Linked DNA regions of Saccharomyces cerevisiae S288C. The protein of the gene in region 1 interacts with the protein of each later gene in a biochemical or structural test. Each region holds a gene or a part of one and is shown in the gene's direction. Other genes may lie near its edges. The genes, in order: ATG8, ATG4, NUP159 and ATG1.

Evidence for each region.
Region 2: the proteins of ATG8 (region 1) and ATG4 form a complex in vitro, tested with the Saccharomyces cerevisiae proteins (5 studies listed by BioGRID, with this or other methods).
Region 3: the proteins of ATG8 (region 1) and NUP159 form a complex in vitro, tested with the Saccharomyces cerevisiae proteins (2 studies listed by BioGRID).
Region 4: the proteins of ATG8 (region 1) and ATG1 form a complex in vitro, tested with the Saccharomyces cerevisiae proteins (3 studies listed by BioGRID, with this or other methods).

Annotation. Positions count from the first base shown.
Region 1 is NC_001134.8:77,393-83,324, reverse strand, and holds ATG8 (ubiquitin-like protein ATG8), read left to right. Parts: upstream 1-2,593; coding exon 2,594-2,947; downstream 2,948-5,932. Other genes in the region: isoleucine--tRNA ligase ILS1, read left to right, coding at 1-2,282; NUP170 (Nup170p), read right to left, coding at 3,558-5,932.
Region 2 is NC_001146.8:223,814-230,668, forward strand, and holds ATG4 (cysteine protease ATG4), read left to right. Parts: upstream 1-3,556; coding exon 3,557-5,041; downstream 5,042-6,855. Other genes in the region: CNM67 (Cnm67p), read right to left, coding at 1-656; SQS1 (Sqs1p), read right to left, coding at 983-3,286; SSU72 (RNA polymerase II subunit A C-terminal domain phosphatase), read left to right, coding at 5,281-5,901. UniProt on the Saccharomyces cerevisiae protein: Cysteine protease that plays a key role in cytoplasm to vacuole transport (Cvt) and autophagy by mediating both proteolytic activation and delipidation of ATG8.
Region 3 is NC_001141.2:142,681-152,273, reverse strand, and holds NUP159 (FG-nucleoporin NUP159), read left to right. Parts: upstream 1-3,564; coding exon 3,565-7,947; downstream 7,948-9,593. Other genes in the region: HOS4 (Hos4p), read right to left, coding at 1-679; mitogen-activated protein kinase tyrosine protein phosphatase SDP1, read right to left, coding at 1,086-1,715; putative porin POR2, read left to right, coding at 2,286-3,131; HIS5 (histidinol-phosphate transaminase), read right to left, coding at 8,189-9,346. UniProt on the Saccharomyces cerevisiae protein: Functions as a component of the nuclear pore complex (NPC).
Region 4 is NC_001139.9:156,236-164,197, forward strand, and holds ATG1 (serine/threonine protein kinase ATG1), read left to right. Parts: upstream 1-3,829; coding exon 3,830-6,523; downstream 6,524-7,962. Other genes in the region: MND1 (Mnd1p), read right to left, coding at 308-964, 1,048-1,050; GTS1 (Gts1p), read left to right, coding at 1,671-2,861; serine/threonine protein kinase TOS3, read right to left, coding at 7,174-7,962. UniProt on the Saccharomyces cerevisiae protein: Serine/threonine protein kinase involved in the cytoplasm to vacuole transport (Cvt) and found to be essential in autophagy, where it is required for the formation of autophagosomes.

The DNA of each region.
Region 1 (5,932 bases):
ATGTTACTAGTGATTCCGGTACTGGTATTGTTCATAACGCTCCCGCTTTCGGTGAAGAGGATAATGCTGCTTGTTTGAAGAACGGCGTCATATCCGAAGATTCAGTGTTACCTAACGCCATTGATGACCTTGGTAGATTCACGAAAGACGTTCCTGATTTTGAGGGTGTTTATGTCAAGGACGCTGATAAGTTGATTATTAAGTACTTAACTAATACTGGAAATTTGTTATTGGCATCCCAAATTCGCCATTCCTATCCATTCTGTTGGAGATCCGATACCCCATTGTTATACCGTTCTGTTCCAGCTTGGTTCGTTCGTGTTAAAAACATTGTCCCTCAAATGTTGGATTCTGTGATGAAATCTCACTGGGTTCCTAACACCATCAAGGAAAAGAGGTTCGCCAACTGGATCGCCAATGCCCGTGACTGGAACGTTTCCAGAAATAGATATTGGGGTACTCCAATTCCTTTATGGGTTTCAGACGATTTTGAGGAGGTCGTCTGTGTTGGTTCTATCAAAGAATTGGAAGAATTGACCGGTGTGCGTAACATCACTGACTTGCATCGTGATGTCATTGACAAATTGACAATTCCATCCAAGCAAGGTAAGGGTGACTTAAAGAGAATTGAAGAAGTTTTTGATTGTTGGTTTGAATCTGGTTCTATGCCTTATGCTTCTCAACATTATCCATTTGAAAACACAGAAAAATTTGACGAAAGAGTTCCAGCTAATTTCATCTCTGAAGGTTTGGATCAAACAAGAGGTTGGTTCTACACGTTAGCTGTCTTAGGTACCCATCTATTTGGCTCTGTTCCATACAAGAACGTCATCGTCTCTGGTATTGTCTTAGCTGCCGATGGTAGAAAGATGTCTAAATCCTTGAAAAATTACCCTGATCCATCCATTGTTCTGAACAAATATGGTGCGGATGCATTAAGATTGTACTTGATAAACTCACCTGTTTTAAAAGCTGAAAGTTTGAAATTCAAAGAAGAGGGTGTTAAGGAGGTTGTTTCAAAGGTCTTACTACCATGGTGGAACTCCTTTAAATTTTTGGACGGTCAAATTGCCTTGTTGAAAAAGATGTCTAACATCGACTTCCAATATGATGATTCTGTGAAAAGTGATAATGTCATGGACAGATGGATTTTAGCTTCTATGCAATCTCTAGTACAATTCATTCACGAAGAAATGGGTCAGTACAAATTATACACTGTCGTTCCAAAACTTTTGAATTTCATTGATGAATTGACAAACTGGTATATTAGATTTAATCGTCGTCGTTTGAAGGGTGAAAACGGTGTTGAGGACTGTTTGAAAGCATTAAATTCTTTATTCGATGCCTTATTCACATTTGTCCGTGCCATGGCTCCATTCACCCCATTTTTGTCAGAAAGCATTTATTTGAGACTGAAGGAATACATCCCAGAAGCTGTCTTAGCAAAATACGGTAAGGACGGAAGATCAGTCCATTTCTTATCTTACCCAGTGGTCAAGAAAGAATACTTTGACGAGGCCATCGAAACTGCAGTTTCTAGAATGCAATCCGTTATCGATTTGGGTAGAAACATTCGTGAAAAGAAAACTATTTCCTTAAAAACTCCATTGAAGACTTTGGTCATCCTTCACAGTGATGAATCATACTTGAAGGATGTAGAAGCCTTGAAAAACTACATTATCGAGGAATTAAATGTTCGTGATGTTGTTATCACCTCCGATGAGGCAAAATATGGTGTTGAGTATAAAGCAGTTGCTGATTGGCCTGTATTGGGTAAGAAGTTGAAAAAAGACGCAAAGAAGGTTAAAGATGCCCTACCATCAGTCACTTCTGAGCAAGTACGGGAATATTTGGAAAGCGGAAAGTTGGAGGTTGCCGGTATTGAACTGGTTAAAGGAGATTTGAATGCTATTAGAGGCTTGCCAGAATCTGCTGTCCAAGCTGGACAAGAAACCAGAACCGACCAAGACGTGTTAATCATCATGGATACAAATATTTACTCTGAACTAAAGAGTGAAGGTCTCGCAAGAGAGCTGGTCAACAGAATCCAAAAATTGAGAAAGAAGTGTGGTTTGGAAGCCACCGACGATGTTTTAGTGGAGTACGAATTAGTTAAAGATACTATCGACTTTGAAGCCATTGTCAAAGAACATTTTGATATGTTAAGCAAGACCTGTAGATCCGACATTGCCAAATATGACGGCTCAAAGACAGACCCAATTGGTGATGAAGAACAATCTATTAATGACACCATTTTCAAATTAAAAGTGTTCAAATTATGAAAACAACTCATATAAATACGTACAAATTTTTCTCTACTCGAAGTGATATAGATGTATATGTGTAAGTTTACGTTTAAGTTAGAGTCATGTAATGCTAACTGTCTCCACCGATAATGTTGTATAATACCCGTGAAATCATAGCACATGATATATCATCACCCGGAGGCCGGTTATTTTCGGCGGCGGCAAAAATATTTGGTATAATTATGGAAATACAAAAAGGGGAACCATTAAAGGTTGAGGAGGGGATTGATAAGAGAATCTAATAATTGTAAAGTTGAGAAAATCATAATAAAATAATTACTAGAGACATGAAGTCTACATTTAAGTCTGAATATCCATTTGAAAAAAGGAAGGCGGAGTCGGAGAGGATTGCTGACAGGTTCAAGAATAGGATACCTGTGATTTGCGAAAAAGCTGAAAAGTCAGATATTCCAGAGATTGATAAGCGTAAATATCTAGTTCCTGCTGACCTTACCGTAGGGCAATTTGTTTATGTTATAAGAAAGAGAATTATGCTACCCCCTGAGAAGGCCATCTTCATTTTTGTCAATGATACTTTGCCACCTACTGCGGCGTTGATGTCTGCCATATATCAAGAACACAAGGATAAGGACGGGTTTTTGTATGTCACTTACTCAGGAGAAAATACATTTGGCAGGTAGTCTTTTATATGAAAAGAAATGAAGCGTTAACATCTAAAATCGAAATTATAGGGACTCATTAGCCATCTATTGTTCCAGTATAAGAATGTTTACATAAAAAATTCGAAAAAAAAAGATAAAATAAGGGAAAAATATATATATATTCATTAAGAAGTTTTGTACACAACGGAGCCAAGATTTCACCAGTATTTGGAGACAAATGTGAGCACGTTATGGTATTTACTTACAGATTACGATCTGTTCAATGCATCAGAAATAGGAAGAAATTCAAAATAAAATAAAAAAAATATTAGGAAGGAGTGAAAAAGCAAATAAGATGATACAGTAAGGTGGAGTTAATGTCTTTCTTCTCCAAAATGTATTCTTGCTAACCAAAAATCTGATTCTCTCTGACCTGTTCGTTTGTCTTATGTATGTAGAATCAATTTCTTACAGAATTTTAAATACTGTATAGTGGAAAAGAATAATAAATAAATACTCGACTATATTTACCTTTATCTTAAGGAAAAGTTCACTCGATATTCTTAACTTTACCGTCTAGTAAGGCCTCTTTATTACATTAAAATATACACGTACATTACCCTGCTATCTATATGTCGAACATGAATTTTTATTCTTTGTAGAAACAAATCCCCAAATTATTGCCGCTGTTCTTAACGTACTTTTCAATTGGATCATTATCAATTTTGTATTCCTTCAAGTGAATGATATCGTTGTAGGAAATAATGTCCCTAAATTTCCTGTCCGATTTGTACCATTCGTGAATTAACCAGGTCATTTCTTTATTAAATACGGAATTATCGGAATCTGATGTCTCGATTAGTTCTTTTAAAATATAGTACATTTTGTTGAAAGAAACACCCGCTGTTATGAATATAGAAACTATCGACCCTGATACAATATGTTCCTTAGGTAGTGTTTCGTAGAAAAAATTACAGACAATGGGAAAGAGTTCGAAAATGGGGAAAATGAATTCAGAATCCTGAACATTTTTACCAATTTTAATCAGTACATTAGACAGTAAGTTGATGAAGTTCATTGAATCTTCTTTCTTTCCGGTATTATTAAATTCCATCCTCAAAGATTGGAATAGCTCATCCCACTTGGCCATAATTACTTCATGGTCCCTAAAATCTGCTATCTTGAAAATGAATAGGGCAATTTCATGGTAACTTAAGGGTACAGCAAAATCATTAAACAGCTCACTTGTGCTCAATATTTTACCATCTAGAGTTTTGATCAGCTCATCTTTAATGGCTGAATCTATTCTTGCGTCTGTATACACGAGCGACAATATATCACCTTGAATACCAGCAACTTCACATGCATCTTGGATCCTACTAGCTAATTGTACAATTCTTTGTTTCTGGCTTAATGGTGACACACTGTTGCAAAAACCATTGGCGCGTGAAAGAAACTCAATTCTTTCAAACAATGTGATGTCAAAATTCGATGTAGCTAAACGGTAAAGAATTTCAGCAGATTCGAAAAATTTAGATCTTCTTGAATAATAGACCCAGAGTATATTAGATATCTTCAATGAACTACCTGCCTTTTCCATTAAATAAGGGAGTATGAATGGAGTTTCAATATCTAATAGTTTTTCCTCTCTGTTCTGAGACACAAGCCAATCATACATATGATAGTGGAATAATCTATCGTTATATTTTAGGGCGGCTTCATAACTTTTTTGTCTCAGTTTCACTTCATCGTCATTCGATATCGAAATTTGGTTTTGAGTTTTTGATGACTGTTTTTTTTCGGCAAGTTCGTCTACTTTTATTAAAGTATCAAAAACTAGGTCATAAACTAAGATACGTTTGTCGTAATATTGTTTCCTATCATCATTTTCTAAAAATCCATTTGCCACATATTGACAAGCTAGTTTGCCTTTGTCCATAGAGTTGGCAATATTCAATAAGAATTCAATAGATTTTGGGTAATAATTTACACTCAGCATCATTGATACAGCTTCTTTCAATTTCTCGATAGAAAGATCATCCACAATTTGTTCAAGTAAAGCAGTAGCATTTTTCAGGTGATAGTTTAGAGAATCATAGTTACGCAAGCCAATTTCTTTAGCCCTTCTAAGATGTTCAATGGCTCTAAATCCTAATATATCACTTGCAGAGCAGAATGATCCACAGCGTTCTTGTAAAGCTGTTGCGGTATACTCTATCGACGCACCTTTGGTGATATTCCTATTGATGATGGATAATAAAATTTCTCTAATTAATGATTTTGTTTTGTCATTTGGAGCAAATAAATCTTTAAAATCTAGTTTGACTAAATCTTTTTGGACGTCCAAGCTTACAAAACTGATTATATCCTTGAAACCAAGGTATTGGTTGTCGAATCCTTCGACTTCGCTTTCCTCGTATAAAACGTTCAAGAATGATAGACCTTCCTTTATGGACTGTACCATTTTGATCATCGCATTAATCGCTATACTTTCCGCTTGGTTTGCAACTTCTTCTGTTTTATCAATAACCCTGCCGTTAGAATTGTTCGCTAATACGTAGGGAGCTGATATTTGGGAAATTGAATCACCATAAGTGATGAAAAATTCATTTAAAATGTTAATTGAAGATAGATAGTACTCGATACAATCCTTGGAAATAGAAACCTTTGATATTATGTTCCTATTTTGTGAAATTTCATCACTTTTTAGGTTATTAATAGATGGAGTGATTGGATCAGAAGAAGAAATGAAAGCATGGGATGTCACCCTATTATCTGTAAAAGTCATGAAGACATGTCTCCCCCAAATATCTCGAAGTAGTCTGGTAATCAATAATGCAATACCGTAAAATCTGGGGGATAATATTACGTCATCTAAGTCAAAATCTTCCTTGTTTGCAGGGGAGGGTTTACTAAAGCCAGTTATTGATTGTTGGAGATTAGTTGTTGCGGTTGATAAAGTGGGCTTTGACAATAAAGAGGATACTGTAGATACAGAATAACGGTTGTAGACAGGTTTGATGT
Region 2 (6,855 bases), on another chromosome or scaffold:
TTATCTAAGGTTTTGTCGTTTGACTTCGTAGCTGCTTCGAGCTCCTTTTGTAAAGAGTTTGCTCTTTCCTCTTGTCTTAGATTATCTCTACCCAATTCAATAACTTTTTTTTGATACCCCAGTATCACATTTTCTAACATTCGAAAATCCTCTTTCGATAAGGAGTTTTGTAGAAAAATTTTGGCACCGTTACAGTCTTCTATCGAGATATCTGGCGATGTATGTTCATCAGTTGGTTGAGCAGAAGCCTGTTCATTTGCCCTCGTAAAATGCTTCGAAGAGTTTTCTCTAGGAGTAGAGTGTATGAAATTGGGTACATCCTTTTTATGAACATCAGTACCTATGGGAGACTTATCTTTTTCGTTTTTTGGTCGTTCTTGTAATCCTGGAGATTCCTGATAACTAGTATTTCTAGCATAATTCATTTGATCCATAGATGGTGATTTGTTCTCTTCATATGAGTCTCTAGCATTGGAAAAGTTGCAATTGATGACATCTTCAGGGTTAACGAATAAAGGTAAGATGGATTTTCCGACATGATTTTCATTTAGCCAGTTTTGTGGGATTGGCTCTCCGTCTTTAATTTCCCCATTCTCTGATACAGGAGAATCCAAACGCTCATGAAATGGAAAATTCATTAAATCGAAATCAGTCATGATGTACAAAAGACCTGTCACTATTTACTAGTGATTATTTTTTGTATGTGTAGATTTCTTCCCGAGGAACGTTAACGTTATTAGTTGTTTTATTACTATAAACGTTCCACAAAAAATTGCCTAACGCCTCACGTCGCGCAACGCGAATTTTCACAAGAAGATGTTATTTACAGTTACGATAATTGAATTGGATATGTAACGAGAAGTTGTACCTAAAACTCCGTATGTGTATATTACCATAGATTTTTCATGGTCTAGTCTAGAAAATAAAAAAATATGTATATACGCAATTGTTAAGAAAATGAGGATTAAAAGCTTGGAAAATATTAACTTTCACTGTGTCTTAAACCCGATCTATTCTTTTTAATTTTGGCAAAAATTGGTTCACTTATACCTTTATTGCCTTGAATACCAAGGCCCTCTCCACTTTTCCACCCAAGCTTTTCCAACATTCTTCTACCGATATTTTCGTTTCCAATCTCTGGAGCGTTTTGACCAACAATCTCACCTTCTTTAACATGAAATTTCCCTCTGATTGTTTTAGTTCTTTCGAAAGCAGCTTGTTCCTCCCTCGGTCTTCTTATATCTATTCTCATGAATACTGGCCTCTGCCTCATCAATTGGTCAATGAGACTATAATTCGGAGAAGACCATTTCGTTTTCTTTATTTTTTCTACAACAACCGACGTATGATTTGCTTTCCCAATTTTTGAACTCTTCATATTATAATGCTTCGCAATTTTCATTACGGTCTTGTTTCCATGAGGATCTAATGGAGGGAAAGTCAGTCTATCATTGTTCCTAGACAAAAAGGACTCAAATTCATCTTTAATATTTTGAATATGGAGTCCATATGGGTATTTCTTGAGCATATCGTTCGAATTTCTATTCTCCTGATCAATGAAATCTTCTTTGGCTTTTCTTTTCTTTGCTTTGGTTTCTATGCGTTTACTAAACTTACTTTGTAACGTCTCCAACGTTTCTGTATCCAGCGCTAAGGCGTCATCGATGAGTAGCTTCTTCTTCTTACCTTTACCCTTAGTTTCCAAGGACTTGGTTTCAAATGTTTTGAATCTTTCTGTATCATGTTTCAATGTGTATGCAATTAGGTCGTCCAGACCCTCTTCAATGTCGCTATGCACAACCGAGGAGGCCATATCTTCATCATCTTCATAGCTGTCGCCTTCATAGCTGTCACCTTCATCACTCGAATCAGAAATCGGAATATCTGAGTAGGTTGGCTCAGCTGGTTCAATTTTTGGTATAAGAGAATTTTTAATAAAATTCAAATATGCAGGTAATCTATCTTCAGGAAGACCTAACTCGTCTACAACGAAGTCTGTGAGTAAGTCCTGGTCAATCCAATGAAAGTCGTAATCTCCCAGTAATCTGTAACACCGTAGATAATATGAATTGTCTACTCCGCCCATTCTTATATTGGAGACCACTATGTCATTAGTATTTATGACAAAATCTTCTTCTTTGAATCCAAATTCTAACTCTTCGCTAGCAGGAGATGGCAGATTATCATTATTGCCTTCGAATGTTTTGGTACCATTTATTGAAAGACATTTTATATCTTCTGTCAACTGCGGACTAGGGCTTGGTAAAAGATTGTTGTCAGCTCGGGAATTGTGACGTTGGCCAACATAATTAAACCCTTGATCAACCTCAGAACTTGCTGAGGATTCGTATAAAGGTTCACTATTATTCTCTGTTTCTATTTCGTAGTCTAGTTCATCATTGTCCGAGTCGCTAGTATGCATACCATGTAATACGTTGGAAATGTAACCAGCAAATGGATGATATGTCTTATTACCCTTATTTGGAACGTCAACACTAATTTCCTTGCTTTCGTTACCTTCGGAAACGCTAAGTTCAACCTTTCCAATTGTTAAGATAGGATCGAACTCTATCGCAACTTCTCTTGGCCTTGCGATTTCCTCGATACATACTCTTTTTATTTTGGTTAGATCCGGCGATTGCTGAGCCTCTTCATCTACAAAAAACAGGTCACCATCTTCAACTTTGCTTTCATTCGAAGACAGCGAGTGGTCCGTCGAGGGTGAATTCTGACTATCATCATCCTCGTTTTCACTGTCTTCATTGTTAATATATTCAACATCAGAAGTCATCTTTCCTGGTTCTTCAAAAACGTCTGCTTCCCTTTCGACAATTTCTTCACTGTTCTTTGTTTCGTTCTTTGCTCTCAGTTTTTGAATCATATTGTGGGATGGATCGTAAACTTCCTTAGCTTTTACAAATTGCATAGGTCTTTTGCGGAATGCTGCCCTTCCTGCTTGTAGGTCAGTTGAAGAATCATATCGATTACCTGGTCTTAAACCACCCATTTTCATAGAACGGCTCTTGGCATCGCGACCAAAATAATAGTCTTCTATAGTTTTTGGTGATATGAATGCTCTTCCTGGGTTGAAGTCGGCGCCTACATCATCAAGATCACCTTCTCCTAGTGGTATAGAAGAGTTATGCCAACTGTTAGTGGGAGTAGGTTTTTTCTTTATCTTTCTGCCTTGTATGCCTTTAGCATTCCCCCTGCCAGCTTTCTTGGAATTGCTACCACGTGCATGCCTACGTCTGCTTCCTTGATAATGACTATGCCTTTTTGCCATTTTTTTTGACGGTTACAACAATTTATGCTTATATTTGACTCTGCGATTAAATCACTTCTTCCTTCTAGAAACTCTGCGCAGGCCTAATTGTTGTTGTTTTGTTCAGATCTTATTTAATTGTAAAATGTCAAATTTCACTTTTATTCTTTAGGCGGTGACCGTTGCAGCTGCCAACAATAGCGCCTCAAAGGAAAAAAGTAAAAATATACACACAATAACGTTAGTAGATGAAGAATGGACGACTTCTTATCACGTATAGGAGTGATATACATGCAGAGGTGGCTACAACTGTGGAAAATGGATTTGGTACAAAAAGTGTCTCATGGCGTTTTTGAAGGCTCGTCCGAAGAACCGGCTGCTCTTATGAATCATGATTATATAGTATTAGGGGAAGTATATCCTGAGCGAGACGAAGAATCTGGCGCTGAACAATGTGAACAAGACTGTCGATATCGCGGTGAAGCGGTTAGTGACGGGTTTTTAAGCTCTCTTTTTGGTAGGGAAATTTCTTCTTACACAAAGGAATTTCTTTTGGATGTACAATCAAGGGTCAACTTTACATATCGGACAAGATTTGTTCCTATAGCAAGGGCGCCAGATGGGCCTTCACCTTTAAGTCTAAATTTATTAGTACGTACAAATCCGATCAGTACAATAGAGGACTATATAGCAAATCCTGATTGCTTTAACACTGATATTGGGTGGGGGTGTATGATAAGGACAGGACAAAGTTTGTTGGGGAATGCCTTACAAATCCTTCATTTGGGCAGAGATTTCAGGGTAAATGGTAACGAAAGTCTGGAAAGAGAATCAAAATTTGTAAATTGGTTTAATGACACGCCTGAGGCTCCATTTTCGTTACATAACTTTGTTTCTGCAGGTACAGAACTCTCTGATAAAAGACCAGGTGAATGGTTTGGTCCCGCAGCTACGGCAAGGAGTATACAATCTTTAATATATGGCTTCCCCGAATGTGGCATCGATGATTGTATAGTATCTGTTTCATCCGGCGATATCTATGAAAATGAAGTTGAAAAAGTATTTGCTGAGAATCCAAATAGTAGAATATTGTTCTTGTTGGGCGTGAAGCTCGGGATTAATGCGGTAAATGAGAGCTATAGAGAAAGTATATGTGGTATCTTAAGTTCAACACAGTCAGTAGGCATTGCCGGCGGTAGGCCGTCTTCATCGTTGTATTTTTTTGGTTATCAAGGAAATGAATTTTTACATTTCGATCCTCATATTCCTCAACCGGCAGTAGAAGATTCATTTGTAGAGTCGTGCCATACCAGTAAATTTGGTAAATTGCAACTATCGGAAATGGATCCCTCGATGCTCATTGGTATTTTGATTAAGGGCGAAAAAGACTGGCAACAATGGAAGCTAGAAGTTGCAGAATCTGCTATTATCAATGTTCTTGCTAAGAGAATGGATGACTTTGATGTGAGTTGTAGTATGGATGACGTGGAAAGTGTAAGTTCTAACTCAATGAAGAAAGATGCAAGCAATAATGAAAATCTCGGAGTACTAGAGGGAGACTACGTAGATATTGGTGCAATATTCCCACACACAACAAATACAGAAGATGTAGACGAATATGATTGTTTTCAAGATATTCATTGCAAGAAACAGAAGATTGTTGTTATGGGAAACACACACACTGTTAATGCGAATTTAACAGATTATGAAGTAGAAGGCGTCCTTGTAGAGAAGGAAACGGTAGGTATTCACAGTCCTATTGATGAAAAATGCTAGTGTAAGGAATTCACTAGTTCATAAGCATATATACTTGTTTTAATATATTCCCTAAAACTGAGGTATCCAGTTCTTTTGTTCTTATTCGTTTGATCATCCTTTACGTATTTTTCGTCTGCGGCAGTGGAAAGAACTTAAAAAACGAAAGATAATAAAGAAAAAGGCCAGTCGGCACGAATTAAAGACCACCTGTAAGAAGATTAAGACAACGGTGGTATAAACTAGTGTCGAAGTCCAAAATGCCTAGTCATCGCAATTCAAACTTGAAGTTTTGCACAGTTTGTGCATCAAACAACAATCGTTCAATGGAATCGCATAAAGTCCTGCAAGAAGCAGGCTATAATGTTAGCTCTTACGGAACAGGTTCAGCTGTGAGACTGCCTGGTCTATCGATAGATAAGCCTAATGTGTACTCATTTGGTACACCCTATAATGATATATATAATGATCTTTTATCACAATCAGCAGACCGTTACAAGTCGAACGGTTTATTGCAAATGCTGGATCGTAATAGAAGACTCAAAAAAGCACCTGAAAAATGGCAAGAAAGTACAAAAGTCTTCGACTTCGTTTTCACTTGTGAAGAGAGATGTTTTGATGCCGTTTGTGAAGATTTGATGAATAGAGGTGGGAAATTAAACAAAATAGTGCATGTAATTAATGTTGACATTAAAGATGATGATGAAAATGCTAAAATTGGTAGCAAAGCTATATTGGAATTAGCTGATATGCTCAATGATAAAATAGAACAATGTGAAAAAGATGACATTCCCTTTGAAGATTGTATAATGGACATTTTAACTGAGTGGCAAAGCTCACATTCTCAACTACCGTCATTATACGCTCCTTCATATTACTAAACAAAACGGTCAATTACTGTAGAAAAGCATAAGCATTAAGCGGCCCTCATGAATCCTACATTATCCGTGAAATTTCAATACTTTCACAAGTCTTCGATAGCTTCCTAGTTATATTCATTATATAATATTACGTTTCTTGTTGCGGCTCTCTTAAGCACATTATTTGCTTGTTGTCCACATAGCTATTTTTTTATCAAGAAGCTTGATATACAACACACTGTATTTTTAGTAAGCTGGACAATGTCTTGTCTCAATGTAGCGTATAACAGGTTTCATTCCAAAACACATCACCAGATATAGGACTGAAATGAAGAAAATAGAAGCATGAAACTTTAAAAGTTTCAGTACTTTAAGAAAGAAATAAATAGAAAAATGTTCCATTTATTTCTGAAAATAAATCAAAAATTATAAGATCCACCCGTTCCTACCAAGACCTTCCAAAATTTTTCCCATAACGGGAACGAGCAAAGTTGAGACTGCTCAAAAGAGCACATCTTCAAACTACAATCCCGACCAAATAATCTCAACAGCCATACCTTCATCATAAACTTAAGTTCATTCGAATCTGCCGTCAAAAACTAAAATGGCACGCTAGAGAAAAGTAGTCAAAAAGAATGCCTCTACAAAGCTCTCTTTTGAAAGGCCCCAGCTCCCCTAACACCAATTTGAATTTGGTGTCAAACTTCTCCAGGCAGAAGAAACAAAGGGCCCCAAAAATCAGTTTAACCCAAAAATCCCCAAAGGAATCAAGGGATTAACCAATGATTGAAACAAGGGAATGGAAACGTCAGCAAACACGCCTTCCGCGCCGTATGTGTGTGTGACCAAGGAGTTTGCATCAATGACTTCAATGAACAATTATAGTTCAATGATAAATGCTTAACGTCCTTCTACTATTGGAAGCGCATGTTTGATCAGTAGGACTTCTTGATCTCCTCTGATATCTTAAGGTAA
Region 3 (9,593 bases), on another chromosome or scaffold:
GTTTTATTGGTGAGTTGGGTGCCGTGGGATCATCGCTTCCCACATCGTCTGTGTCCTTATCTGAGTCGCTATACTCTATATCTTTTTCCACATTTTCTGGTTCTGTTGTATTTTTTTCAAGTACCTCATCACTTAAATCCTCTTCTTCAACAGCTCCCAAACCCTCTTCTTCTATGAAATCATCAACAGTTTTCCTTTTTGGTTCTTTCAACATCGCTCGAAGTTGGTCTCTCGAAAAAGGTTGATGGTTTTGGATATCAACATTACGTACATTGGGTGATGATGATGATGACGAAATTTTCGCTCGTATTGCTTGGCTTATTTTTTCATTCGTTTCAGGAACATCGTCCGGACGGCTGTCCCCATTAACCTCTCCTTCGTGTGAACTCGCATCATTCTTATGGGCCAGGTCTTCGGATTCCTTTGCATTCAGGTTATTTTGGGTGGCTTGATGAACGCTTGTAGTCTGTGAGCGAAACGATGCAACATTTTCTGGAAACTTATCACTTACTTCTTCCGACAGTGTTTCCCTTTGTTCATGCTTGCCGGCAGTATCTTCCTCTTCGGATGTTTCTTGTTTAGAAATCTTTTCCAGCTCCTCCCGTCTCGTGCTCACGTTTGAAAGATAGCTGCTCAGGGACCTTTTCTTTAGCGGCTGTTTTGTAGTAGTCTCATTCATATTGTCATGAATCTCTACAGCAATTCTTCTCTGTCACATATAATAATATCCTTTGTTGCTTTGTGTAACTTACTACATAGTTTTCTCAATATACACATTGATTTAGCATCACAAGAAAACTTGTTACCCGGAATAAACTAGTATGAACCGTACAGTAAATGCGCAAATTATATTGAGAACTTCGTACAAGAACCCTACCAAATCCAAACCTTGTTCTTCTAAGGACGAGTCACTTCCTGAGCCTTGATTTGGAAAAGGCTCTCAATAAGAGAAACTAAAAGCTCAGAACAGAGCATGAAACAAAGCGAAGAAATACGGAATTATTTATAAAGTACAGAAGAAAAAAAGAGCATCGTGCCCCTCAATAAAGCCTCATTGAATGCTATATCTTTTTTTTTTTTCTCTCTCACGGTACTTTTCTATAACTGTTGGCTTGCACGTTAGTCTTCGCGTTAAGAGCAACCTCCCATTCCATCAACTGGAAAATAAGCCCTATGGAAGGGTTTATCTTGTCTGCCCTTGATTTCAACAGATCATATGAGTGCCTCAGACTCAAGTTATGATATTTCATTATATATGCAATAATCAGCGTTGCGGATCTCGACAGCCCACATTGGCAATGTATCAGTATCTTCTCTCGCTTAGTCGTAGCTGCGTGTATGATGCTAGTCAATGATGGCAAGTCCAACGCAATCTGCGAATCATGTTCCCATCGGTAGTGATGGTACTCGACAGCAGGAACCTGCATTCGTAAATCGTTTGCCTCTTCAGCAACGTTGATGACCACATCAAAGGGTAAAAGCTCTTTTACCGTGGGCTCTGAATAAAGGTAGATCTTTTCCGGGAGAACAAGTAATGGGCCTTTTGGGTAGATTCTGCGCACGTCCAAACTCGAACAAGGCACGAATTCACGGTCTTCATTCGGGCTTTCTTTGTCCGTAGACCTCTCATCTGTGGCCAGCATAGGAAGAGATGGTCTTTGGCCACTCTTTGGTGCGATGTTCGGTGTTCGCGTGGGTGATGTGTATATGTTCATGCGAGATTATGGCTACAAGTGCGCAGCCGTATGTGTTATTTTAGATAATAGATTATCTTCAACTTTGTTGCTGATCTTGTCTTACTCGTTCTTTTATATCACCCAGTATACCATAAAGGGGATAAGAACTGATTAAAGTTATTCGCTGCGGCAACCTAATTAGGAAGTTGCCTGTTCCAGAAGGGGAGTTGCCAAGGCCGCGCCGTACGACGCAAAAACCCTTTTCTATCTGGAAGATATCTCCTATTCCAATAGTGTGCGCCCTGCCTAGCAAATGAGACGAATAACGGATTCCGCAGAAATGACACACTGCAAAATCTGTTCGTAGTTTTCAGCATTTAAAAGTTTAGTTCTTTTTCTATGCTGCGACTGAGCTTCTGCATTTTTTAACCAAATACTAATTTGTCTTACATGATTGAAAGCGCCTTTAGCAATTCCTTTCCTTTTTTCTCGCTTCCAATTGCAGAAATGGAACAAAAAGAAAAGAAAGAATAGTGAAGATGGAGCTCTTCTGTTTTATTCTCGAGTGAAGGAATTGCATGAAGAGGAAAGTGTTAGAAATTACCTACGATGGCACTACGATTTTTCAACGATATATCTAGAGATGTCAATGGCCTATTCAATAGGGACTTTTTTCACACCAACCCCCTCTCTTTGAATATTTCAACAACCACGGAAAATGGTGTGAATTTTACTCTGAAGGCGAAGCAGGGCGTGACAGAAGGCCCCATCCAAACTAGCGTAGAAGGACGGTTTTATGACAGGAAGGAGGGAGTGTCGCTATCTCAGAGTTGGTCGAACCAGAACAGGTTAAATACAAGAATCGAATTTTCCAAGATAGCACCTGGTTGGAAAGGTGATGTCAACGCATTTTTGACTCCCCAATCCATCAAGAACGCCAAATTTAATTTGAGCTACGCCCAAAAATCGTTTGCAGCAAGAACTTCTATAGACATCTTGCAACCTAAGGACTTTGTCGGAAGTGTTACTTTGGGCCACCGCGGGTTTGTTGGCGGCACTGACATCGCATATGACACAGCTGCGGGTTTATGTGCACGCTATGCTATGTCAATCGGGTATCTTGCCAGAGAATATTCGTTTATTTTGTCTACTAACAACAGGCAATGCGCAACTGCTTCATTTTTTCAAAACGTTAACCGCTATTTGCAAGTGGGAACTAAAGCCACTTTACAATCGAAGACAAGTTCTAATATGAACATTGAATTTGTTACCAGATACGTACCAGATTCTATTTCGCAAGTTAAGGCAAAAATTGCAGATTCAGGCCTGACTACATTGTCGTACAAGCGAAATTTGAATAAAGATATTTCTTTGGGTGTGGGTATGTCTTTCAATGCGCTACAACTGACTGAACCAGTCCACAAATTTGGCTGGTCTCTATCGTTCTCGCCCTGAGAGATTTTATTTTCTTATAAATTTTACTAAATAAGGATTTGTACTTTTGATAGAGTTTTTTTTTTTTCTGACGTTTGTTTAGTTAATATTATATAATAGTATTTAGGAAACTAGGTGGGAGGGGACATCGCAACTTTTATCGTGACCTACGACCAGTGTTTTTTCAATTGTTTGATCAAAAGAGAAAAAAAGACAAAGGACCGAAGGATAGTTGCACGCATAAACTGGAGAAAAAATTGTGTTTGACATCGGCGTTTAGGCTTGTTTGTTCTGTCACACATACGCTGCTTCACACCAATTCATATTTCTCAGGTTAATTTGTCTCCTCTCCAACTTCAATAACGATTTTGCGTGAAGGTTTAATTTCATTATTGCAATTTTAGCAGAGAAACGCACATAAATATATATATATTGATTACAGAACCATTATAACATGTCTTCTTTGAAGGATGAAGTACCCACTGAGACTTCCGAAGACTTCGGTTTTAAGTTTTTAGGTCAAAAACAAATTCTACCTTCCTTCAATGAAAAACTGCCATTTGCATCTCTACAAAATCTCGATATTTCAAACAGTAAGTCTTTATTCGTTGCTGCCTCTGGTAGTAAGGCGGTGGTCGGCGAATTACAATTACTGAGAGATCATATCACCTCCGACTCTACTCCGTTAACGTTCAAGTGGGAGAAAGAAATCCCAGATGTAATATTTGTGTGCTTTCATGGTGATCAGGTTTTGGTTTCAACCAGAAATGCATTATATTCGTTAGACTTGGAGGAATTGAGTGAATTTCGAACGGTCACTTCTTTTGAGAAGCCAGTTTTCCAATTGAAGAACGTTAATAACACTTTAGTAATTTTAAATTCAGTCAATGATTTATCAGCACTGGATTTAAGAACAAAATCGACTAAGCAACTGGCACAAAACGTTACCTCTTTTGATGTCACAAATTCGCAGTTAGCAGTTCTACTAAAAGATAGAAGTTTTCAAAGTTTTGCATGGCGAAATGGCGAAATGGAAAAACAATTTGAGTTCTCTCTACCGTCAGAATTAGAAGAGCTTCCAGTAGAAGAATATTCCCCTTTGAGTGTTACCATTCTCTCTCCACAGGATTTTTTGGCGGTTTTCGGTAATGTTATATCAGAGACCGATGACGAAGTTTCATACGATCAAAAAATGTACATTATAAAGCACATAGACGGCAGCGCCTCATTTCAAGAAACTTTTGATATTACACCTCCATTCGGGCAAATAGTAAGGTTCCCATATATGTACAAAGTTACCTTGTCTGGTTTAATTGAACCTGATGCAAACGTAAATGTGCTAGCATCATCATGTTCAAGTGAAGTAAGTATATGGGACTCGAAACAAGTTATTGAACCTTCCCAGGATTCTGAACGAGCAGTATTGCCCATCAGTGAGGAAACAGATAAGGACACAAATCCAATAGGTGTGGCAGTTGACGTCGTTACTTCAGGCACTATTCTAGAACCTTGTTCCGGTGTTGATACGATAGAGCGATTGCCGCTCGTTTACATATTGAATAACGAAGGTAGCTTACAGATAGTCGGGTTGTTTCATGTGGCAGCAATCAAAAGCGGCCATTATAGCATAAATCTGGAATCTTTAGAACATGAGAAATCTCTCTCTCCTACATCAGAAAAAATTCCTATTGCTGGACAGGAGCAGGAAGAAAAAAAGAAAAATAATGAATCAAGTAAGGCTTTATCAGAGAATCCTTTCACATCAGCAAATACATCAGGCTTCACTTTTCTTAAAACACAACCAGCCGCTGCCAATAGCCTGCAGTCTCAAAGTTCTTCAACCTTTGGTGCTCCCTCATTTGGATCATCCGCATTTAAAATTGACTTGCCATCAGTCTCATCTACCAGTACTGGTGTAGCGTCCAGTGAACAAGACGCAACAGATCCTGCTTCTGCTAAGCCAGTATTCGGCAAACCCGCGTTCGGAGCTATTGCCAAAGAACCGTCAACATCAGAATATGCCTTTGGCAAGCCATCTTTTGGTGCTCCCTCCTTTGGCTCTGGAAAGTCATCTGTTGAATCGCCTGCCTCCGGATCTGCCTTTGGTAAGCCCTCTTTTGGTACTCCTTCCTTTGGCTCTGGAAATTCATCTGTTGAGCCGCCTGCCTCCGGATCTGCATTTGGTAAGCCCTCTTTTGGTACTCCTTCCTTTGGCTCTGGAAATTCATCTGCTGAGCCGCCTGCTTCCGGATCTGCCTTTGGTAAGCCCTCTTTTGGTACATCTGCATTCGGAACTGCATCAAGTAACGAAACTAACTCTGGATCCATATTTGGAAAGGCTGCATTTGGTTCATCATCTTTTGCACCCGCCAACAATGAACTTTTCGGATCAAACTTTACTATTTCAAAACCTACAGTTGACAGCCCAAAGGAGGTAGATTCAACGTCACCTTTCCCATCTTCTGGCGATCAAAGTGAAGATGAGTCTAAGAGTGATGTAGACTCTTCTTCGACACCTTTTGGTACGAAACCTAACACCTCTACGAAACCAAAGACCAATGCCTTTGATTTTGGGAGTTCTTCCTTTGGATCTGGATTTTCAAAGGCTCTGGAATCTGTTGGTTCCGATACAACTTTTAAATTCGGTACTCAGGCTTCACCTTTCTCTTCACAGTTAGGAAACAAATCACCATTCAGTTCCTTCACAAAAGATGATACTGAAAATGGATCTTTAAGTAAGGGCTCTACCAGTGAAATCAATGACGATAATGAAGAACACGAAAGCAATGGTCCCAACGTAAGCGGTAATGATTTGACAGATTCTACGGTTGAGCAAACATCTTCTACTAGATTACCGGAAACTCCCTCGGATGAAGATGGTGAAGTTGTCGAGGAGGAAGCGCAAAAATCCCCCATAGGCAAGCTAACTGAAACTATAAAAAAAAGTGCCAATATTGACATGGCTGGTTTAAAAAATCCTGTATTTGGAAATCATGTCAAAGCAAAATCCGAATCGCCGTTTTCAGCATTTGCAACAAATATTACCAAACCAAGCTCTACAACACCTGCTTTTTCGTTTGGTAACTCCACAATGAATAAAAGTAATACATCTACGGTTTCACCAATGGAAGAAGCTGATACTAAAGAAACTAGTGAAAAGGGCCCCATAACCTTGAAGAGTGTGGAGAATCCGTTTCTACCAGCGAAAGAAGAAAGAACTGGAGAAAGTTCTAAAAAGGATCATAACGATGACCCAAAAGATGGTTATGTATCAGGAAGTGAAATATCTGTAAGGACTTCTGAAAGTGCTTTTGATACCACAGCAAACGAAGAAATTCCAAAGTCACAGGACGTGAACAATCATGAAAAAAGCGAAACAGACCCAAAATATAGTCAACATGCTGTGGTTGATCACGATAACAAGTCTAAAGAAATGAATGAAACTTCGAAGAATAATGAAAGGAGCGGTCAACCAAATCATGGTGTCCAAGGAGATGGAATAGCATTGAAAAAAGACAATGAAAAAGAGAATTTTGATTCAAATATGGCAATAAAGCAATTCGAAGACCACCAATCTTCAGAAGAGGACGCGAGCGAAAAAGACAGTAGACAAAGCAGTGAAGTTAAAGAATCAGATGATAACATGTCACTCAACAGTGACCGGGATGAAAGTATATCTGAGTCCTACGATAAACTGGAAGATATTAATACTGATGAGCTACCTCATGGTGGAGAAGCTTTTAAAGCACGTGAAGTGAGCGCTTCCGCTGATTTTGATGTACAAACTTCATTAGAAGACAATTATGCTGAATCTGGCATACAGACAGACCTTTCAGAAAGTTCCAAGGAAAATGAAGTTCAAACGGATGCCATACCCGTGAAACACAACAGTACACAAACTGTTAAGAAGGAAGCAGTCGACAATGGTCTGCAAACTGAGCCTGTTGAAACATGTAATTTTTCTGTTCAAACATTTGAAGGTGACGAAAATTATTTAGCAGAGCAATGCAAACCAAAGCAATTGAAAGAATATTACACAAGTGCAAAAGTATCAAATATTCCTTTCGTTTCACAAAATTCTACGTTAAGGTTGATTGAGAGTACATTTCAGACGGTCGAAGCTGAGTTTACTGTTCTGATGGAAAACATCCGGAATATGGATACTTTTTTTACTGATCAATCGAGCATCCCTTTGGTGAAGCGTACAGTGCGGTCTATCAATAATCTGTATACTTGGAGAATACCAGAGGCTGAAATTCTATTAAATATTCAGAATAATATCAAGTGTGAACAAATGCAAATAACAAATGCTAACATTCAAGACCTGAAGGAAAAAGTTACAGATTATGTCAGGAAAGATATTGCACAAATAACTGAAGATGTAGCCAATGCAAAAGAGGAGTATCTGTTTTTAATGCATTTTGATGATGCTTCGAGTGGATACGTTAAAGATCTCAGCACGCATCAATTTAGAATGCAAAAGACATTACGTCAAAAGCTATTCGATGTGTCCGCCAAAATTAATCATACTGAAGAGTTGCTGAACATTTTAAAATTGTTCACTGTAAAGAATAAGAGATTGGACGATAATCCATTAGTGGCAAAACTAGCTAAAGAATCTCTTGCACGTGACGGTTTACTAAAAGAAATCAAATTATTGCGTGAGCAAGTGAGTAGGTTACAATTGGAGGAGAAAGGTAAAAAGGCTTCGTCGTTCGATGCATCCTCTTCAATAACAAAGGACATGAAAGGATTTAAAGTAGTAGAAGTTGGGTTGGCCATGAATACGAAAAAGCAAATTGGTGATTTCTTCAAAAATTTGAACATGGCAAAATAGTGATATTTAGCTATATGTACGTTGTTAGTGCCGTTAATAATAAATTCATCCTCTATCATAGAAACAGGGCATGAGAAACGAAGAAAAATTGATATTGTAACAATATCATGAGACCTTTTATAGAAGTGGCGCCAAAACTAAATGTATTTGAAAATACAAAAAACGCACAGGTTTCTTTATATATGTATATATATATATATATATATATAAAACTGTACATATACTGTTTAAATTAATCTATTTATTCATTGGCCAGCTTATATAACGTCTCCTTGAAGTACTTTATCAAATGTGTGTTCTCCTCATGGGTTCCAACGGTAATTCTCAAACATCCGGAACAGCCTAATTCGTTACCTCTAAATCTGACGACAACCCCAGATTGAGTAGCCAATTGGTAATATAACTTCTTTGCCAAGACATTGTCACCCCCGTTGATCCGTATTAAAAGAAAATTAGCATCTAATCCACCAACATATTGGTCATCAACGTAATCCAAAGCAGTTAATTCCTTTAAGAGGCGCATTTTCTCTTCATTGATTATTTTCGAAGTGGCTTCCATCTTCTTTAGATTACTGTCTTGAACAGCTTTTAGTGCATATTCAGAGGCTAGGGAGGAAATATTATAAGGCGCCTTCATTGCATTTAAAATTCTGGCCAACTCTGCTGTTGCATATGTCATACCCAACCTAATCCCGGCTAAACCGAATGACTTGGATAGAGTTTGCAAAGTAACCAAGTTAGGATACTTGGTGACTAGTGGAGCTGTAGAGCCACCACAAAAATCTACGTAAGCTTCATCAACAACGACTAACCCATTGTCCCAATTCTGTAAGACCTTTTCGATTAAACTGGTCTTAATTTTGGCTCCGGTTGGATTACCTGGTGAAGTAACGAACATCAACTTAATTAGCGAGTCGTTTTTCAAAATGGTTAATACAGCTTCGGTATCCATTTGAAAAGAACCGTCGGAAACAGTTAAAGGACATTGGACGACTTCTATATCATTAATGTTTGCACAAACAGAGTACATAGAATATGTTGGTGGAAGAACCAGAATCTTTTCTTTCCCGGGAACACAGCATGCTCTAATAATAGCATCAATACTCTCATCAGATCCCACACCTAGGCACAGATTGTCAGCAGTTAAAGGTTTTACCTCTGGGTCATTGGCATAACTGCTTGTTTTGTTCCTGTATTTCGTCATTGCGGTCTTGAATTCCAATTGGTGAGGATCCGGGTAACGATGTAAATTGGTCTTGCTCAATTCAACTGGAGTAGGTCCATGGGCATTTTCATTGGCGTCTAGCAATATACCCTCGGTGAAATCATCTCTTGCACAGCGATAAGGTTCCAAGTTATAAATTTTTGGTCTAACAATTCTTTTCAAATCAAAAACCATAGTGTAATTTTAATATATACGGCACACACGTACTGCTGGTTTAGCAGGAAACAAATTAAGAGTAATCAATGGAAAAACTGTTTTTACATATTGGAGGGTATATTGAACAGAACTGTGTGCATCCTTTTCAAGTTATATAACGTGAGAGATAAAATATCAAGTATGTCATGTCAGGGTAAGAAACATCAATTGAAGTGAGTCAACAGATCCAAGAAAAAAAAGCACTAACTACGTCACTATACCATGA
Region 4 (7,962 bases), on another chromosome or scaffold:
GATATATGGCCAGAAGGCCCCTTTACACACTTTTGAGATGCGATGAGTCTTCCAAGGTAGGAGCATATGCCTCCAACAGACTTCGGCCCGAAGCATGCTGTGCTCACGGGAATTATATTGTGTGAAGCACATGCCACACTTTCCAAAAAAGAGTCAGAATGAGTCAGCCGGATAACCAAACGCGGACTGTGGCGCCACGGAAAACAGTGTGGCAAATTTATGGGCGGCTAATCTGCAAGCTCTATGCCTGGAAATGTAGATGTAATAATCAAGACACTTTTGTTCTTTCGTGTATAGTGCATGAAGGTTAAACCTCCGTAAATTCCTTGAACTCTTCTGGAATTCCAAATTCTTTTCTTATCTGTTCTGGCTTCAAAAAGAATTTCTTGTATAAATAATCAATGAGAATCTCAATGTTATCAGTAGTTTTCTCCAGATGCACTTTTTTTAGGCGGATCTGTTGTTTATTCTCTTGTATTTTTGCTGCATCCCATCTAATGCTTTCTATTTTTTGGAGACTATTACTCTTTTTCTTAATTTCATCCTGAATTTTTTTTCTCTTTTCCAGTAGAGCCTCCCTATTGTATGATTTTTGGCCTACCGTAAATTTTTTACGCCTTCCAGTTGCTAGCGTTTTGTCTAGTTCTTGTTTATAAGTGGCAATATCACACTTTACTTCCTGTATCTTTTTTTTTATCAACTCGCTTGAATCATACAATTTTTGCAGTGTCTGATTTTTAAAGCACCAGTAGATGTTAATATTACCACATTTTTCCACCGAAATGACGCCGTCTTCATCAATCATTTGTTGCACTAAATCTTTAACGATCATGGGTGAGATTCCGCATTTTTTAGGTATGCTTTTCTCTAATTCCTTGATGTTGTAGAATGTGTACGTCTCTTGAAAAAAGTTCAGAATCCGGTTCTTTTTCTCTTGGAGTGATACTGTCTGTCTCTTTGGCCCCTAATAATAAGAAGAGGGTAGCACGCACCCGTCTATAAGTTAGTGTTCAGTCCTGTGTACCATGATGGTTTTATTAGACATACCATTGTTGAATGTTTATGATACTACACATAAAGTTTCCGCCGTTTAGTCTATATCGCAAAGAATAACGGTGGGACGGGAGATCGCCTTTTATATGCAATTTCGTGATCTGGGCGGTTATTTTACTTTTTTTCGACGCATAAAAAAGCAGGAAAGATGGTAAATTCGGTTCGTTATTCAAGATTTTTAGAGCCAGAAAGATATTTGAGCGTGCCTTCGTGAGAAGAGGCTTAGGTTGAGACGATGATGCTGAAATTATGGCAAGACACGAATTCTTCTTCAAGTTTCCCTTGTCATAATAAGAAGAGAAAAACATACCTTTATGTCGGTTGCAATTAAGAAGGTTGTATAGAGCATCTCAAATGCTGCTTTTACTTTATTAAACGTTGACCAAATAATACGGCGCTTTTGTTTCGACAACGACACACTATGATGCAAAGCGGATCCGGGTAATCGATAAATGGGGGCACCCGGAAATTATTGTAAGTTGAAGAAAGTTAGTGTTGATCTCTAAATGCTTCACAAAAGGGTGGAAGAAGAACATTTTCTCTTGATCAATCATTAATATAGATGGAGGCAGCGTTCTGTCAATCACAGATTATAGTTTATTTATACTTAGTCAAAAATGAGGTTTAGGAGTTCTTCCCATAGCTTAAAACATGTTGACAGAGAATTAAAGGAGTTGATTAATTCGTCCGAGAATGCCAATAAATGCGGTGAATGTGGTAATTTCTACCCAACTTGGTGCTCAGTTAATTTGGGGGTTTTCCTTTGTGGTAGGTGTGCCTCTGTTCATAGAAAAGTTTTCGGTAGCAGAGACGACGATGCCTTTTCTAACGTTAAATCACTATCAATGGATAGATGGACAAGAGAGGATATCGATGAATTAGTGAGTCTTGGAGGCAATAAGGGGAATGCTCGGTTCTGGAATCCTAAAAATGTCCCTTTTCCTTTTGATGGAGATGATGACAAAGCCATCGTGGAGCATTACATTAGAGACAAGTATATTTTGGGTAAATTCAGGTATGATGAAATAAAGCCTGAAGACTTTGGATCCAGAATGGATGATTTTGATGGGGAATCGGACAGGTTTGATGAAAGAAATAGAAGTAGGAGCAGGAGCAGATCTCATTCTTTCTATAAAGGGGGCCATAATAGGTCTGACTACGGCGGTTCCAGGGACTCATTCCAAAGCAGTGGAAGCAGATATTCTAGGCAACTGGCAGAACTCAAGGACATGGGTTTCGGTGATACAAACAAAAATTTAGATGCATTATCGTCCGCTCACGGAAATATCAATAGAGCAATCGATTATCTAGAAAAAAGTTCAAGTTCAAGAAATAGTGTATCGGCAGCAGCGACAACATCAACTCCGCCCCTGCCCAGGAGACGTGCGACAACAAGTGGCCCACAGCCAGCTATTTTTGATGGTACAAATGTAATCACGCCAGATTTTACTTCAAATTCAGCATCTTTTGTACAAGCAAAGCCAGCAGTTTTCGATGGTACCCTTCAACAGTATTACGATCCTGCTACCGGAATGATATATGTAGATCAGCAGCAATACGCCATGGCTATGCAACAGCAGCAACAGCAACAGCAACAGCTTGCTGTCGCACAGGCTCAGGCTCAGGCACAGGCACAGGCACAGGCTCAAGTTCAGGCTCAGGCTCAGGCTCAGGCCCAGGCTCAGGCTCAAGCACAGCAGATCCAGATGCAACAGCTTCAGATGCAGCAACAGCAACAGGCGCCATTATCTTTTCAGCAAATGTCGCAAGGAGGAAACCTGCCACAAGGTTATTTCTACACACAATAAAAATAAGATACATTGCCGCTGCTCCGCATTACATATCATATAGAGTGACACTAAGTAATTAAATGACACTAAGTAACGAAAGATATCTGTAAACAACGACTATATACCAGAATTAGTCATATTCTCTATTGTATTCACCCTACACAGCCGCATTACACAGCTGCTCCGGACGTTTTACGCTGCACATCAATGACTAATACCACTGTATTTGATCCACACTTAGCGCAAAAGTCACCTGGGTGGCGTTTTCCGCTCGCGCTCCGCCGGTGAGAGCGAGAAAAAAAAAAGGGATTGGGCGGTAATGTAAGGAAAACCCACTAGTTAAAATCAATGAGATAAGGAACTCTCTTTTTTTCCCGTTAATCATCTTTTCCTTGTTCGTTTCGTGTATCTGTAATGAATCTTATCGGAGTAACTATTACTGGAAAGCCATACCGTTAAAGAAGCAAGCATATCATTCGTATTCAAGCATCTGTTTTTCTTTTTAACCGCTCGGCTCTGATTTCTTAAACCATTTCCCCCATCAGCATCAGTTTGTGATTTGTAACTATATCGATCGTGGAATCGATGGAATTCTAAGCGTCATTTAGTTGGCAACAAAAGGAATCGAGCATCTCATAAAGGAGCTTATATTATTAATATCTTCCTGATCGTACTATTTTTTTTTAGCTTTTTATTTTTTAGGCCGAGGTTAATTCTAGAACGCCACATTTCATCACCTTTAAGTTAAGTACCAAGGCCATCTTTTACCCTTTTTAGTTTCTGGGGAAACAGAGAACAGTACTATAGAAGATAAAAAGATATAATACAATCGTAGTAATAGTACCCATAATAAAATAACATATAATATAATAAAAACATAAGGCAAAGGAGATAGGAGAATAATCATTGATATCTCCACAAAACGAATTTGAAGCTACCCCATATTTTCAAATCTCTTTTACAACACCAGACGAGAAATTAAGAAAATGGGAGACATTAAAAATAAAGATCACACAACCTCTGTGAACCATAATCTAATGGCAAGTGCAGGAAATTACACCGCTGAGAAAGAAATCGGAAAGGGTTCGTTTGCCACTGTATATAGAGGGCATCTGACATCCGACAAATCTCAGCATGTAGCCATAAAGGAAGTATCAAGGGCGAAATTAAAAAATAAGAAATTACTAGAGAATTTGGAAATAGAAATCGCTATCTTGAAGAAAATCAAGCATCCTCATATCGTCGGACTTATTGACTGTGAACGAACATCAACAGATTTTTATTTGATCATGGAGTACTGTGCTCTTGGGGACCTAACATTTCTGTTGAAAAGGCGTAAAGAATTGATGGAGAATCATCCTCTACTAAGGACCGTATTTGAAAAATACCCTCCACCGAGTGAGAACCATAACGGCCTGCATAGAGCGTTTGTCTTGAGTTATTTACAGCAGTTAGCGTCCGCTTTGAAATTTTTGAGGTCTAAAAACTTGGTTCATAGAGACATCAAGCCTCAAAACTTACTATTATCTACACCCCTAATTGGATATCATGATTCAAAAAGCTTCCATGAACTTGGATTTGTTGGGATCTACAACTTACCCATTTTAAAGATAGCAGATTTCGGGTTTGCAAGATTTTTGCCAAACACGTCATTAGCAGAAACTCTTTGTGGCTCACCATTATATATGGCACCAGAAATTTTGAATTATCAAAAATATAACGCTAAAGCAGATCTGTGGTCTGTCGGTACAGTGGTATTCGAAATGTGCTGTGGCACCCCACCGTTTAGAGCTTCCAATCATTTGGAGTTATTCAAGAAAATTAAAAGAGCAAACGATGTCATAACGTTTCCTTCATATTGCAATATTGAACCAGAGTTAAAAGAGTTGATATGTAGTTTATTGACATTTGATCCAGCCCAAAGAATAGGATTTGAGGAGTTTTTTGCTAACAAGGTAGTCAACGAAGACTTGTCTTCTTATGAATTGGAAGATGATTTACCTGAGTTAGAATCCAAATCAAAAGGTATTGTAGAAAGTAATATGTTCGTTTCTGAGTATTTATCTAAACAGCCAAAGAGTCCGAACAGTAATCTTGCAGGTCATCAATCAATGGCAGATAATCCCGCGGAGCTCAGTGATGCCCTCAAGAACAGCAATATATTAACTGCCCCAGCCGTTAAAACAGACCATACACAAGCCGTAGATAAAAAGGCTTCAAATAATAAATACCATAATAGCCTAGTTTCAGATAGAAGCTTTGAAAGAGAATATGTGGTGGTAGAGAAGAAATCGGTTGAAGTTAATTCATTGGCAGACGAGGTTGCTCAAGCAGGATTCAATCCAAATCCTATTAAGCACCCAACTTCAACTCAAAATCAGAACGTCTTATTGAATGAGCAATTCTCTCCAAACAATCAACAGTATTTTCAAAATCAAGGAGAAAATCCGAGGTTACTGAGGGCCACATCATCTTCCAGTGGAGGTAGTGATGGGTCTAGGCGACCATCTTTGGTGGATAGACGCTTGTCTATATCCTCGCTGAATCCATCTAATGCATTATCAAGAGCCCTCGGTATTGCATCAACGAGATTGTTTGGTGGTGCAAATCAACAGCAGCAACAGCAACAAATCACATCTTCCCCACCGTACAGTCAAACTTTGTTGAATTCCCAACTTTTTCATGAACTTACTGAGAATATAATATTAAGAATAGATCACCTACAGCATCCAGAGACACTGAAATTAGATAATACTAATATCGTTAGTATTTTGGAATCTCTGGCCGCAAAGGCATTTGTTGTTTACTCTTATGCAGAAGTGAAATTTTCTCAAATTGTTCCATTATCAACAACATTAAAAGGCATGGCTAACTTTGAGAACAGGCGCAGTATGGATAGTAATGCTATTGCAGAAGAACAAGACTCAGACGATGCAGAAGAAGAGGATGAAACGTTGAAAAAGTACAAGGAAGATTGCTTATCCACGAAAACTTTTGGAAAGGGTAGAACTTTATCTGCCACATCTCAGTTGAGTGCAACTTTCAATAAACTACCACGTTCGGAAATGATCCTTCTATGTAATGAGGCCATTGTCTTATATATGAAGGCATTATCCATTTTATCAAAATCTATGCAGGTAACGTCCAACTGGTGGTATGAATCTCAAGAAAAATCATGTTCTCTAAGAGTTAACGTGTTGGTACAGTGGCTAAGGGAAAAATTTAATGAATGTTTAGAAAAAGCTGATTTCCTGAGATTAAAAATTAACGACTTGAGATTCAAGCATGCTTCTGAGGTAGCTGAAAATCAAACTTTGGAAGAAAAAGGTAGTTCGGAAGAGCCAGTATATTTAGAAAAGCTATTATATGATCGTGCATTAGAAATATCTAAGATGGCCGCACATATGGAATTAAAAGGAGAAAATTTGTACAACTGTGAATTAGCTTATGCAACTTCACTTTGGATGTTAGAAACTTCTCTGGACGATGATGATTTTACGAATGCCTATGGTGACTACCCTTTTAAAACTAACATACATCTAAAAAGTAACGACGTTGAAGATAAAGAGAAGTATCATAGTGTGTTGGATGAAAATGACAGAATAATCATAAGAAAGTATATTGATAGTATTGCAAACAGGTTGAAAATATTGAGGCAGAAGATGAACCACCAAAATTAAGTGATGCATAATATGGTTTTCTTATTAAGTACAAATGACCTGCTATATTTTCAAGTATCTTCATGATTATGTTATGCTACTCTCGAAATGCTTTACGAGTTCGTCATTAAAGTATTCAAATTTTATTTTCCCTTTGTGTTTTGTTTTGTTTTTATTTCTACGTGATTTTTTTCTTGAAATCCAGCTCTTTTATACCTGGATGGGTTTTATTTTGATGTTTAAATGTTAATTAAGGAAATTATTGAATTCCTTCGGTTTCGGTGTGTTTTTTTCTTTTTAAGTTTTTTTTTGTTGCGTTTAGTACTTGCCTTTGGCTATACATATCCTTTTAATCTAATTTTTATTTCTTCAAAATTTGATTCTTTAACCTTTTGTTCTATATATATATATAAATGTATGTATGTATGATTTGATTGAGGAGGCTTTAACAAGTCATTAATATCTTTATTATTTTTACTTGTTGAGTTCATTAAAATTCATTTTATAATTTGTTGTTACAAACAGTATTTTACAAGTCATAATAAACGTTCAAAAACAAACACAATATTAAAAGAATTGGTATTAGGATCCGACATGACAATTAACTTAGATCCTTCTATCAAGTTTCTAATCATATATTACATCTATTAAAATAATTTACATATATCATGCTAAAGCTTATAAAGAGACATTCTTCTTCTCGTGCGCTGGGCGTCGCTAGCCTCAAATACAAGTGATGCGTCTGCTTCTATTCTAAGGTCATCCTTGCTGTTAGATTTCCCTTCTACCAGGTGGGCTTTTATACGTTGAGGTACATTACCGACAGGCGTAAGAGTAGAGCTCAAACTTGCTTCCGTACTCTCAAAGGGATATTCTCCTACAGGAGACATAGTTGTATATTGTGGAAACTCACAAGAATTCACTCTTAATGAACTTCCACTCTCACCTATCAAGCATTGTTGATCACCGATTGCTGGGGCATCCTGAATACTGATCTGAGATGCAAAAGCGGTGGATGATGTGAAAGAGGAAAAGGACGAATAGGATGACTCTCTAGAACCGATGTTGTGATATGCTGAGGGTGATAAGGTATTTGCGTCGTATATTGATGGAGAATATGTTGAATTTCTGTCAGCACCAGTCCTAAGGTTATTGTGGTCAAAATTTTCCATATAAACGCTATCTAAAGAGGCGAATGATGAATTCACTGGTAGGCTGACCAATTCTACCCTTTTGCATGAAGAGGGCGGTGAAACTTTCAACTCATGAAACGTCTCCAAATTGGTCAATACGGATGCTGCATCGCTTTTACCATAATGGCACATAAACGGATGTACCTTGATGTCTGCTAGTTTTATCCGTTTGTCAGGATCTTTTTGTAACAGCTTCTTCAATAAATCTTTGGCATCAGTGTATTCTTCCATTGTGATTCCCGAAGTGGCACCATTCAACATTTCCTC